3 linked regions of the Macaca mulatta genome follow. The protein of the gene in region 2 interacts with the protein of the main gene of each other region in a biochemical or structural test. Links are inferred from orthologs where the notes say so. Each region holds a gene or a part of one and is shown on either strand. Other genes may lie near its edges.

The links.
Region 1: the proteins of SH2D1B (region 2) and SLAMF1 interact in a test that uses a peptide from one of them, tested with the Homo sapiens proteins (2 studies listed by BioGRID). The link is inferred for Macaca mulatta from reciprocal best matches to the Homo sapiens genes SH2D1B and SLAMF1.
Region 3: the proteins of SH2D1B (region 2) and ERBB2 form a complex in vitro, tested with the Homo sapiens proteins (2 studies listed by BioGRID and IntAct, with this or other methods). The link is inferred for Macaca mulatta from reciprocal best matches to the Homo sapiens genes SH2D1B and ERBB2.

What each region holds. Positions count from the first base shown.
Region 1 is NC_133406.1:106,184,283-106,188,434, forward strand, and holds the start of SLAMF1 (signaling lymphocytic activation molecule), read left to right. Parts: upstream 1-1,298; 5' UTR 1,299-1,671; coding exon 1,672-1,747; intron 1,748-4,152.
Region 2 is NC_133406.1:104,486,905-104,491,237, reverse strand, and holds the start of SH2D1B (SH2 domain-containing protein 1B), read right to left. Parts: upstream 2,837-4,333; 5' UTR 2,706-2,836; coding exon 2,572-2,705; intron 1-2,571. UniProt on the Homo sapiens protein: Cytoplasmic adapter regulating receptors of the signaling lymphocytic activation molecule (SLAM) family such as CD84, SLAMF1, LY9 and CD244. In SLAM signaling seems to cooperate with SH2D1A/SAP.
Region 3 is NC_133421.1:64,070,437-64,074,084, forward strand, and holds part of ERBB2 (receptor tyrosine-protein kinase erbB-2), read left to right. Parts: intron 1-36; coding exon 37-127; intron 128-589; coding exon of another isoform or gene 590-691; intron 692-842; coding exon 843-1,003; intron 1,004-3,648. UniProt on the Homo sapiens protein: Protein tyrosine kinase that is part of several cell surface receptor complexes, but that apparently needs a coreceptor for ligand binding. Essential component of a neuregulin-receptor complex, although neuregulins do not interact with it alone.

The sequences.
Region 1 (4,152 bases), about 1.7 Mb from region 2:
GTTAGACACAAACTCTAAAATAAAGGCAACTCCCAGAATACAACACAGCCCCAGTTAAATTAAAAAGCCTTTTATCCAAGAGACAGGCAATAACAAATGCTGACAAGGATGTGGAGACAAGGGAACCCTTGTACACTGTTGGTGGGACTATAAGTTAGTACAACCACTGTGGAGAATGGTTTGAAGGTTCCTCACAAAACTAAAAATAGAGCTACCATATGATCCACAATCTCACTGCTCGTTGTACACCTAAAAGAAAAGAAATCAGTATATTGAAGAGATATCTGTATTCTCATGTTTATTACAGCACTATTCACAATAGCCGAGGTTGGAAGCAACCTAAGTGTCTATCACAGATGAGTGAATAAAGAAAATGTGTTACATATACACAATGGAGTACTATTCAGCTAAAAAAGAATTAGATCCTGTCATTTGCAACGATGTGGATGGAACTGAAGATCATTATGTTAAGTGAAATAAGCCAGGCACAGACAGACAAACTTCACACGTTCTCACTTGTGGGAGGTAAAAAGTAAAACAATTGAACTTGTGGACAGAGAGTAGAAGGATGGTTACCAGAGGCTGAAGGGTAGTGGGGGTTGGGGAAGAAGTGGGGATGGTTAATGGGTACAAAAAATAGAAAGAATGAATAAGAACTAGTATTTGATAACACGACAGTGTGACTATAGTCAATAATAATTTAATTGCACATTTAAAAATAACTAAAAGTATAATTGCATTGTTTGTAACACAAAGGATAAATGTTTGAGGTGATGGATACCCCGTTTACCCTGTGTGATTATTACACATTGCATGCCTCTATCAACATATCTCATATACCCCATACATCTATATATATACATACTGACTATGTACACACAGACGTTAAAAATTAGGAAAAAACAAACACAACAAGGAGACTGAGCTGGAAGGATGGAGCTCTGGGATAGATTTGTCCTACATCCCTGCCTGGGAGGGAATCCACACACATGTGAGAAGACAAACTAGGAGCATGGGACACTAAATTATACCACATTGCACTCATTGGGGTCACAGGGTTTCTTCCAAGTGACCCGCACTTGCCCATCCCATCTCTCTGTGACAGTGGCACCCGCACCAGACTACATGTTGAAGTGTTATCTGAAATTATGAAATAAAACAGAAGTAAGAGGTCTATGAGCTCATCAAAATGCAGTCATCTAAATTCAGCTGTGAACTGCCAAATTTGAGGAGTGATCTGACAAAACATCTTTTCTTTGCAATCCAAGAAGACTTACCGGAGAGAACTGCTCAGATAATCTGCAACATCCGGTTCCTGGAGGCAGCTAAGGAAAGAAGCAGGGGTGCATGTTTCTGCCCAAAGCCGGGGTTTGGCCGAAGTGACTACACACCCCCTTTCCTGGCTCCCATAGGCTAAGTGCCTGGCTTCTTGAGAAGCCTGCTTCTTGAGAAGAAAAAAGTGATTTAAAGCCTCATGGGAGATGAGCAATCCTCAAGACACAAGCAGAAAAAGTCCCGGTGATACAGGAAGCGGGTTCAGGAACCTGCTGGTTCCTGATACATAAATTAGACAGCAGAGGCAGCACTGCATGACACGAAGCTCGCTCTGCCTAGCGTCTGTGAGCAGCTGCCAGGCTCTGACCAGGACCCCTTCCTTCTCCTCACTGGCTGATGGATCCCAAGGGGCTCCTCTCCTTGACCTTTGTGTTATTTCTCTCCCTGGCTTTTGGGGCAAGCTATGGAACAGGTGAGTGTTCATCTGCCTGCTGGTTTGAGTCCCACGTTAGCTGCCTGGAATCAGCATATTTTCGTGGATGGAGAGAAGGTGCAGGGCTGGGGATTGTGTTTGGTCACTCTTCCTTAGGGACTGGCTGTCAGTTTCAACTGCCTCTTTCAAAGAGGAAGGAACATTATGAGTTCCTGGGCCCTTGGGTTTCCAAGACTCAAGCCCACCAGCCCCTCTTCCAAGGAAATGAGGAGCTCTAAGCCAAAGGCTCCAGTCACTTCTCTGACCAGTCTTAGGGTGACAGGCTCTGGTAGAAGTCCTGGTTGAGTGGTTGGTTTTACATGGGCATTTTTCTGGCAAAGATCCAGCCTAGAGAGACTGAGCTGGATGGAGTGAGCTCTGGGAGATGATTTGCCCTACATCCCTGCCCTAGGAGGGAATCTGTGCCCATGCAGCCTGACAAACCAGGAGCATGGGTCAACAGAAAGCATTGGCTAGAATGGGAAGAGAGAGTAGAAGTGAAAACTCCAGGCTTTTGGCTAATAACCAGCAGTGACCACAATGTGGTCATACTGGTGTGTATTTTCTTGGAAGAGAAGGTCCAAGAAAGCAAGAGGGAAGAAGTTGGGATTTCTGGAGCCTAGGGCTGGTTACAGTATGTGGGAAATGCAAATTGGGGACCCTCAGAGAGTAGCTCCAGCAGGAAGGCCAGACAAGGGCTACCTTTGGATCTGGACTCTGTTCCTGTCTTTCTGGATATCTTCTTCCCAAGGCAAGCTCTTGCTTTCTGTTTAGAAGTATCAGGGCTATGAGAAAAGGTATTTGAGAAAGAAAAAGCCAAGCAAGAAGTGGACTTTGGACTGCCTGTGTGAGTGGGGTGAGAATCTCTTTCTGCTTATTTGTTTAGACTGTGGGAGGTAGCCTGGAGTAGAAGAGGTGGCATTACGGACAAGGGGGGAAATCCTGAGGCCCAGGGTGTTTTAAGCTTGGGGTTTTCAAGACCGCAAATCCAATATGGACTTTTCCAGGAAAAGCACCGAGATATACCAGGGATGTGGGGGTGCTGCACAATGGATGTGTCTTTTACCAGACAGCCAGATGAACAGGGCTTGCTCAGCCACTTCCTTTTGGAATCTGCAGACCCATGGGTCATACTTCCCAAGGTCTAGGAGAGACAGAACTGAGCTCAGGGCTCAGAAAACCAAACTGAACCACTTTAAGTGGTCACAGGGAAAGCCACGCTTCCCTCGTTGCAACCAATTTGTGACTGCACCATTTTTGGAGCACTTCTTGGTGACTGTAAGGAGTGATGGTGCTGAACTGTGAGCTGGACTTTTCCATCTCTGTGCTTGCTAGCCTCTTGGCCAGCCTGGCCCATAGCATCTTAGGCACTGCTGACCAATAGCTGGTCCTACTGAGGCTTTGGAAGTCACCGGTCAGGGAGAAGCAGCCCAGCCCCACAAGGCAAGTCTATCCAATCGGAGGCTGCTCACTTCATTGCATGTTTTCTTCTTTGAATCTTTCCAAAAGCTTTTCAGTGTTTTTATTTTTAAATACACACCCTTTTGTGAAGCCCCAATAAAACCCAGGAAGAAATGCTTTGCAAATGCGGCAGGTTAGTCATGACAGATTTGCCCAAGCAAGAAGCTTGATACTTGTAAAACTGGCACCCACTCCCATTCTCATTTCTACTCAGCTCAACTTCTAATTCCCAGTCAGAATTGTAAAAATCAAAAAGTCCACATGTCCCTTCCCCAAGTAAAGTGAATTTTTCATTTCCCCAATGAGATTTGTTTTAATAGACTTTATTTTTTAGAGCAGTTTTAGGTTCACAGCAAAGTTGGGCAGAAAGAACAGAGATTTCCCATATACCCTCTGCCCCATATATGCATAGCCTCCCCTGTTATCAATATCCCCCACCAGGGTGGTACATTTGTTATAATTGATGACTTTACCTCAGTGAGTTTTTTTATTCCTCCATGCAGGTCCTCCGCACCCCCTTCACACACTTTGGGGGAAGGTGAGGGACAAGTGCGTGGGTTCTAGACTTGGCCTAACCTTGTATGTTCAGTGGCCCATTCTATCCCAAGATGTCAATCTAGGCACTTCTATTTCTCAAAAATGTTAATACTGTGATGTCATGTGATGCTGTCACTTTCATTGTCTCCCTCACTGGACTGGAAATCAGAGTATCAGGGCTAATTGTTTTTATCCATAGATTGACTTTGAATGATCCCATTCAGCAGCTATTAAGGACAAATGATGTGGCAGCCACATCATTTGTCAAGGGTGCAAGGGTGCAAGGTGTGGGGAAAACAAAATGAACAACAGCCACTGTGCAGCACCTGACACTGTTTCTGTACTGAAAGCCTGTACACAAATGTTTGTTGAGTGAATAATATTAGTATATACTGCATACTTGCTTT
Region 2 (4,333 bases):
AAGTTCCTAAATTCACCAGTCTTATCACTTCCCTGCTCAGAAATCATCCATGTTTCCCTGCTATCTATAGAACCATTCTTGTAAAACTCCATTATCTTATCCCACCCTCCTTTTCCAAAAGCTGGTTTCCAAACTACATTTTAGGAACCTTGTATGTAAATCCTTTAAAATAACCTAGTTCTAGACTCCTGTTCCTACCTCCTCCCCTTCATAAAATGCCCTCCATCCCATTTACATGTAATCAGATCTTATCCACTCTTTGTTTATTTTATTTTATTTGAGATGTAGAGTCTCTCTCTGTCTCACAGGCAATGGCGCAATCTCAGCTCACTGCAACCTCTGCCTCCTGGGTTCAAGTGATTCTCATGCCTCAGCCTCCCAAGTAGCTGGGATACAGGTGCACCCACCATGCCTGGCTAATTTTTGTATTTTTAGTAGATGGGGGTTTCATTATGTTGACCAGGCTGGTCTCAAACTCCTGACCTCAGTGATCCGCCCACCTCAGCTTCCCAAATTGCTAGGATTACAGGCATGAGCCACCGTGCCTTGCCAATATATATTTTTCTTTAAATGGTACTGTGGATGTAGGTATGAGAGAAATAGCCTGTATCTCCATTACCATTTAAAGAAAGAAATATGTCCCTATGTATTCTATTAGTAATGACAATCACCTTTGTCTATAATCAGACTTCTGAGCCTATTCCAAGGCCCATTTGTGTACTTCCTTGTAAAATCAAGTTTTGGCAAAGAACTCTACTATGTCAGTTTGGCAAGGACTCCTCCCTCACCCTAGCTATCTGATCACTGTCAGATTCTGATCAGATTCCTCATCCTCCACCATCCCCCAGGCAACATCTGATCACCCTGGCCTGTCTTCAGTTACAGTTCTGTTAGGCTGGCTTAGCCAGAATCCACTTTACCCCTGCTGTTTCCTCTGAGTAATTTTCTATCTACTGACAGCCACACTGCTCCTTGGCCATAAATTCCCACTTCTCCATGCTGGATTCAGAGTTGAGTCCAATCTATCTTCTGCACCGCAAGAGCTCATTGCAGTGGTCACTGTACCTTTGTGATGATCCTGAATAAAGTCTTCCCAACCATTATTTAACAAGGGACATTAAGCAATTTTTTTCTTTAACAAGAGACACTTGGATTTTAATTTCTGTTACAGGTATAGTAAAAGGTTCAGTGGTCCCTACTTTACAAAGAGGAACATACATAAAAATAGGAGGTTTCTAGTGATTTCTGTTCAGGATTGCTTTCTAAACTGGGCACAAACAAGTTCCTTCAGCTGGGTCTCTTTGATACTGTGGCCTGGAATTTTTTTTTTCTTTTTCTTTTTTCTTTTTGAGATGGAGTTTTGCTTTTGTTGCCCAGGCTGGAGTGCAATGGCGCCATCTCAGCTCACTGCAACCTCCGCCACCCGGGTTCAAGCGATTCTCCTGCCTCAGCCTCCCAAATAGATGGGATTACAGTCATGTGCCACCACACCTGTAATTTTGTATTTTTAGTAGAGACGGGGTTTCTTTTTTTGGTCAGGCTGGTCTCCAACTCCCAACCTCAGGTAATTCATCTGCCTCTGCTTCCCTAAGTGCTGGGATTACAGGAGTGAGACGTTATGCCCAGCCACTCTTTTTACTTTTTTTGGAACAGAGTCTCCCTCTATTGCCCAGGCTGGAGTGCAGTGGTGCAATTTCAGCTCACTGCAGCCTCTGCCTCCTGGGATCAAGTGATTCTCCTGCCTCAGCCTCTCAAGTAGCTAGTATTACAGGCACACGCCACCACACCAGCTTAATTTTTGTATTTTTGGTAGAGATGCGGTTTTGCCATGTTGATCAGGCTGGTCTCAAACTCCTGACTTCAAGTGATTCGCCTGCCTCAGCCTCCCAAAGTTTTGGGATTATAGGCATGAGCCACCACGCCCGGCCTGGAATTTCATATTTAACTTAGACTCTGGAAATTCCAAATGAGTTTTAACACAAACAAATTATTTGAGAAATTCAGGTCTCTGTTTCTTTACTTATGAAATGGTGACTGCTTATGCTTGCCTCGATAGACTACAAGGATGAAAGGAAATGATGAATATTGAAGTCCTTTACAAATCTGACAAAATGTGAAATATGATTGTATTTATAGTTTAACTATTGCAAGCGGATGCTGCAGAATAAGTAGTCCTTCAGATTGAAACTTCTTAAAGAACCCCTAGCCTTTTCCATACCAAATAAACAGATCTCTGGAGGACAGGACCTCTGACATTTTCTCCATCCCCCTGTACCTTTGCTCCATCCCCCTGCACCCCTATACTTTCTGCAGCCCTTCCCTTCCCCACCACCATATCCCTCCTGCTGCTGCAGAGTCTGCTTGCAGGGCCCTTACACTAGGGAGAGCAGGCAGATGGAGGAGCATGGACAGATACATTCCTGTCCTGGCAGTGTCCATTAGTTCTCACTCTACTCATTGAGACTCCAAAGTCAGAGTGAAATACTGAGGGATATGAATTCCTGTACTGTGTGGCAGCCATTGCCACATTCAACATACGATGTCAGATGTGTGCAAAATGAGGCTACTCACGAGACACAGAGGCACAGGACTCCTGGTATCGACTCGCTGTCTCTTAACAGAAAGTTGCCATCCACCCCTTCCTTGAGCAGCAAGGTCTCACAGTCTTGCTTGGTCAGACGTCCGTGGTAGTAAGGCAGATCCATGGAGAACCCTCTTGTATCCCAGGTAGCCCTGTTGGCCTGAAATTCACCCCCAAGTCAAGGGACAGCTCTGGGGAGAGATGTGCAAGCAGTTGTACCTACTGTGGAAATACCTCTTCCTCTAGTGGTCTGCGGGACTCAGCCAGCTTCACAAGATTCAGGAAATTAGAAGGGCGGGGTTATAAAATGACCAACACTTTTCACCCTCTAAATGGCCCACATGTGACTTGCAGAAGTGGGTAAAGCACATTTAAACACACAATGGAATCAGTGATGCTCATAGCTAGGGAGGCAATGCTGAAGTCAAGCTTCCTGGAACTTGTTGAAGCCTTGTATGTTACCATGGACTATTATCACCTCTGGCTACTGGTATCCCTTCCAGGAAGCACACCACTACTTTTGCTCTAATGGTACCCACTTTCTGCTGAAGTTGCCTAGGATTGGGCTATGCTTGCCTTAGACTGGGTGCTCAAAAAGCATTTGGATGCTGAGAGAATTGATACGCTCAGATACAGTGGGAAAATTGAAAGGGTGGGATTTCCATGGGTCAAATGACACTAAAAATGGAAGACATTAATGGGAATAAAAAACAGTGGGACACTATGCATGAGGACAGCCCATTCCATGGCTAAGGCTCCCAGCCACTGGTGAAAAAAGGCCATTTGAACACCTTCAAGCATTGTTCCTTTTGGAGAAAGGGCTGGTGCAGGTGGGAGGGATATCTGGGTATACTCATACATCTACAGAAAATCAGTATATATATCTCAAAAATGTTATCTATGAAAATAGAACTATGTGCTAATGATTCATCTTTACTTCTCTTAGCTTCTTCTTCTTTTTTTTTTTTCTTCATCTCTGAAGTACCTGGAGATCTTAACTTCTTAACCTAGGTGTTTATTTCACCTTGCTCCTTTGCTTACCAGCTGTTTACTCACACTTGGGTGTATCTTATATGGAACTTACTTGTAACAGATCTTTGTTCTTCCTTGGAATTCCCACTCTTTGCATTTGGCATAGGGTAGTTTCACTGATTGAGGAACTTGTTATCAGAGAGATATGCTCTCAAATAGCAACATTTCTTCTGTGGTTTTGGACAATTCATCATTCAATTCTCTGGAAACTATGGCAGTTGAAGACAGAGTTGTTAATAACGAAAGAAGAAATTTGGTAATTCTTGTGAATAAATTCACAATTGTGGTGTGAAGATGCTTTTTGACATAAGAGAGGAAATAACAAAGCATGCTCAGGCTCTTGGTCATCACAGGGGCTTGCTTGCCCTTTTTCCTGTTTCAAAATCCAATCCTCACAATAAAAGAAATTCAAATTACCTCCATGCTGAGATAACAATTCTCACCTATCATATTGGTGAAAATCAAAAGTTTGAAAGCTTACTGGGTTGGTCATGGTGAAAGAAAATAGAATATCTTGTATATCATTCGTTGGAATAAAAAATAGTTACAACTATAGTAAAAGATGGTTTGGCAATATCTTGCAAATTTATGTATGACTTCACCATCTGATAGAACAATCTCAGTTCTAGAAATCTATCACAAAACTACACAGGCAGAATTGGAAAATGACTTGTGAATAAGGTAGTATTTTTTAATAGAAAAAGATTACAAACAACTCAA
Region 3 (3,648 bases), on a different chromosome or scaffold from region 2:
CCTCTCAGACCCGCTCACCACTGTCCTTTCTCTCAGGCTCCCCAGGGAGTATGTGAATGCCAGACACTGTTTGCCGTGCCACCCTGAGTGTCAGCCCCAGAATGGCTCAGTGACATGTTTTGGACCGGTGAGCTGCTGGCGGGCTCAGAGCTGGGTGGAGGGGTGCAGCGAGGGGGATTGCCAGGGACTTGGCAGGATGGCGAGACACGGCAGGGTGTGCCGTCTGGTAAAATATCCCTGGAGAGGGCTCAGCACTCAGACCCGAACAGCAGCAGAGTGGCAGGAAAGGGGGCCCGGGGGACCCTGGGGCCCTTCAGACTATGAAAAGGTTCTAAGGAGGTCTGCGTTTGCGGCTGTGGCTGTGGCTGTGCTAGGGTGGTTAGCCCTGCGGGCTCAGGCGTCAGACTACCTGGATTCAGACCCAGGTCCTGCTTCCAACCTTGGTGTTTTATTCCTAAAATGGGTATTGTAATAGTACCTACCTTGCTGGGGTGTGGTGAGAATGAAATTAAACAGGGCTTGGCACAGTGAAGCCCGGGAAAGGCTTTCTATGCAGCAGTGACTGTTGTTACTCGCTGTTACACCTTAGGTAATGCGTTTTCTTCTCTGGGTGCCTCCCATTCTCTGGCTCAAGTCCCCGCCCAGGATCAAGCTTGGAGGAGGGCCCCGAGGGAGGGTCCACAGAGACTGGGTGAAGAGCAGAGGTGTTTGTCCCAGGAGCATGGTGAAAATTGCTGCTGGGTGGCCTTGGGAAGCACAAAGGGGACCCAACTAAGGGCCTGATCCTACTGCCCTGGGGGTGTCAGTGCTAGCCCCCTACAAACCTTTTCTGCCCCTCCCAGGAGGCTGACCAGTGTGTGGCCTGTGCCCACTATAAGGACCCTCCCTTCTGCGTGGCCCGCTGCCCCAGCGGTGTGAAACCTGACCTCTCCTACATGCCCATCTGGAAGTTTCCAGATGAGGAGGGCACGTGCCAGCCTTGCCCCATCAACTGCACCCACTCGTGAGTCTGAGGGTCTTTTCTGCAGAAAGGAGGACTTTCCTTTCAGGGGTCTCTCTGGGGCTCTTACTATAAAAGGGGACCAACTCTCCCTTTATCATATCTTATTTCTGATGGCAAAAATAACACATCGTTGGGGCCGGGCACGGTGGCTCACGCCCATAATCCCAGCACTGTGGGAGGCCGAGGCGGACAGATGACCTGAGGTCAGGAGTTTGAGACCAGCCTGGCTAACACGGTGAAACCCCGTCTCTACTAAATAATATAAAAAATTAGCCGGGTGTGGTGGTGGGCGCCTGTAATCCCAGCTACTCGGCAGGCTGAGGCAGGAGAATGGCATGAACTCAGGAAGCGGAGCTTGTAGGGAGCTGAGACTGCGCCACTGCACTCCAGCCTAGGCAACAGAACGAGACTCCATCTCAAAAAAAATAAAAATAAAAATAACACATTGTTAAAATGGTAAAATTAAAACATGAAATATAAATTAATGCCCTAGCAGTTCTATCCCCACTGTTAATAATTTGAAATATTTTTCCTCTAGTTATTTTTGTCTGTGCACATTCTAATATGTATATATAAGTTAACATACATTAATATTATTCTCCAGTTATTTTTATCTGTGCACGTTCTAACACACACACACACACACACACACATATATATATATATATTTAGATGGAGTCTCACTCTGTCACCCAGGCTGGAGTGCAGTGGTGCAATCTTGGCTCACTGCAGCCTCTACCTCCTGGGTTCAAGCAATTCTCCTGCCTTGGCCTCCTGAGTAGCTGGGATTACAGGAACATGCTACCTTGCCTAGTTAATTTTTGTATTTTCAGTAGATGGGGTTTCACCATGTTGGCCAGGCTGGTCTTGAACCGCTGACCTCAGGTGATCTGCCAGCCTCGGCCTCCCAAAGTGTTGGGATTACAGGGGTGAGCCACCATGCCCAGTCATATATTTCTTTTTACCAAATAGAATCATAGTTCATATTGTTTTTGCAAATTGCTTTTTCTCACTTTCCAGGACCTTGAAATGTTTTTCCATGTTCTAACATGGTGATCTACCTTATTCTTTTAATTTTTCTTATTTAGTTGTCTTTACACATGAAACACATGAATACATCCTTGTGATAAACATTTTCAGTAACATAAAAGTATAAATGTTACAAAACCACTCAACTCCCTGTCCACCCAGCCTCTCCTGTGGGCTGGGAGAACCACCGCATTGACTTGTGTGTTCATCCTTCTGGGCTCTTTTCTGCACACTTATATAGACACACTACATTTATATTAGGTTGAGTCAAATAAGATTGCTGTTTGTGTAAACCAAAAATGGGCACGCGGTGACTCACACCTGTAATTCCAGCACTTTGGGAGTCTGAGGCAGGCGGATCACTTGAGATCAGGAGTTCGAGATCAATCTGGCCAACGTAGCGACACCCTGTCTCTACTAAAAATACAAAAATTAGCCGGGTATGGTGATGCACACCTGAAATCCCAGCTACTCGGGAGGCTGAGGTAGGAGAAAACCCGTGAGGCGGAGGTTTCAATGAGCCTAGATTGTGCCACTGCACTCCAGCCTGGATGACAGAACAAGACTCTTGTCTCAAAAAAAAAAAAAAAAAAGGTCAAGAAACAGCAATTTCATATAGTTCCACTTGTCATCAGATTTGTGTGCGTGTACATTTTGTAATGTAAATGGGATCATTCTCTTCATACTATTCTGCAGTTTACTTTCCCTCCGACTTGAGGTATCCTTTCTTGTGAGTACAGACAGATCTACCATCTTTATTCTTTTTTAATTATTCAACCTATAACATGGATGTAATTTCACTTTGTTTTTGAGGGATATTGAGCTTGTTTCCCTGTTTTCGCAGTTTATTGCAATTGAGCTCCATACACAAGTGAGCATTCTTCTGTATGCCCCCTAGTGTCCACACATTGGCATTTTTAGGGTATATAGTGCTGGCAATGTTTATCACAAGGATGTATTCATGCGTTTCAATTTAAAGACAACTAAATGAGAAAAATTAAAAGAATATGGGTCCGGGCTGGGTGCAGTGGCTCACGCCTGTAATCCCAGCACTTTGGGAGGCCGAGGCAGGCAGATCACCAGAGGTCAGGAGTTCAAGACCAGCCTGGCCAACATGGCAAAACCCCGTCTCTACTAAAAATACAAAAATTAGCCGGGCGTGGTGGTGGGCACCTGTAATCCCAGCTATTTGAGAAGCTGAGACAGGAGAATTGCTTGAACCTGGGCGGCGGAGGTTGCGGTGAGCCGAGATTGCACCAGTGCACTCCAACCTGGGCAACAGAGCGAAACTCCATCTCGAGAAAAAAAAGAAAAGAAAAAAAAAAGAGAATATGGGTCCAGATCCATATGGATCCTAGATCCAGATCACGGTATTAGAACATGGAAAAACACTGCAAGATTCTGTTAAGTGACAAAAGCATTTGCAAGCAATATGTACGGTCTGTATTCAGAGGAGAATTTGCTGCATCATAGATAATATTTCGTAGGTGTTGCCAAACCGTTCTCTGGAGAAGTCGTATCAGTTTACCCTGAGATTCTTCTATGGAGGGAATAGTTGAGCTCCCTTACTTGCCTTTCTGGGTGCCCTCCCTGCTTCCTACCCACCACAAGGGGCT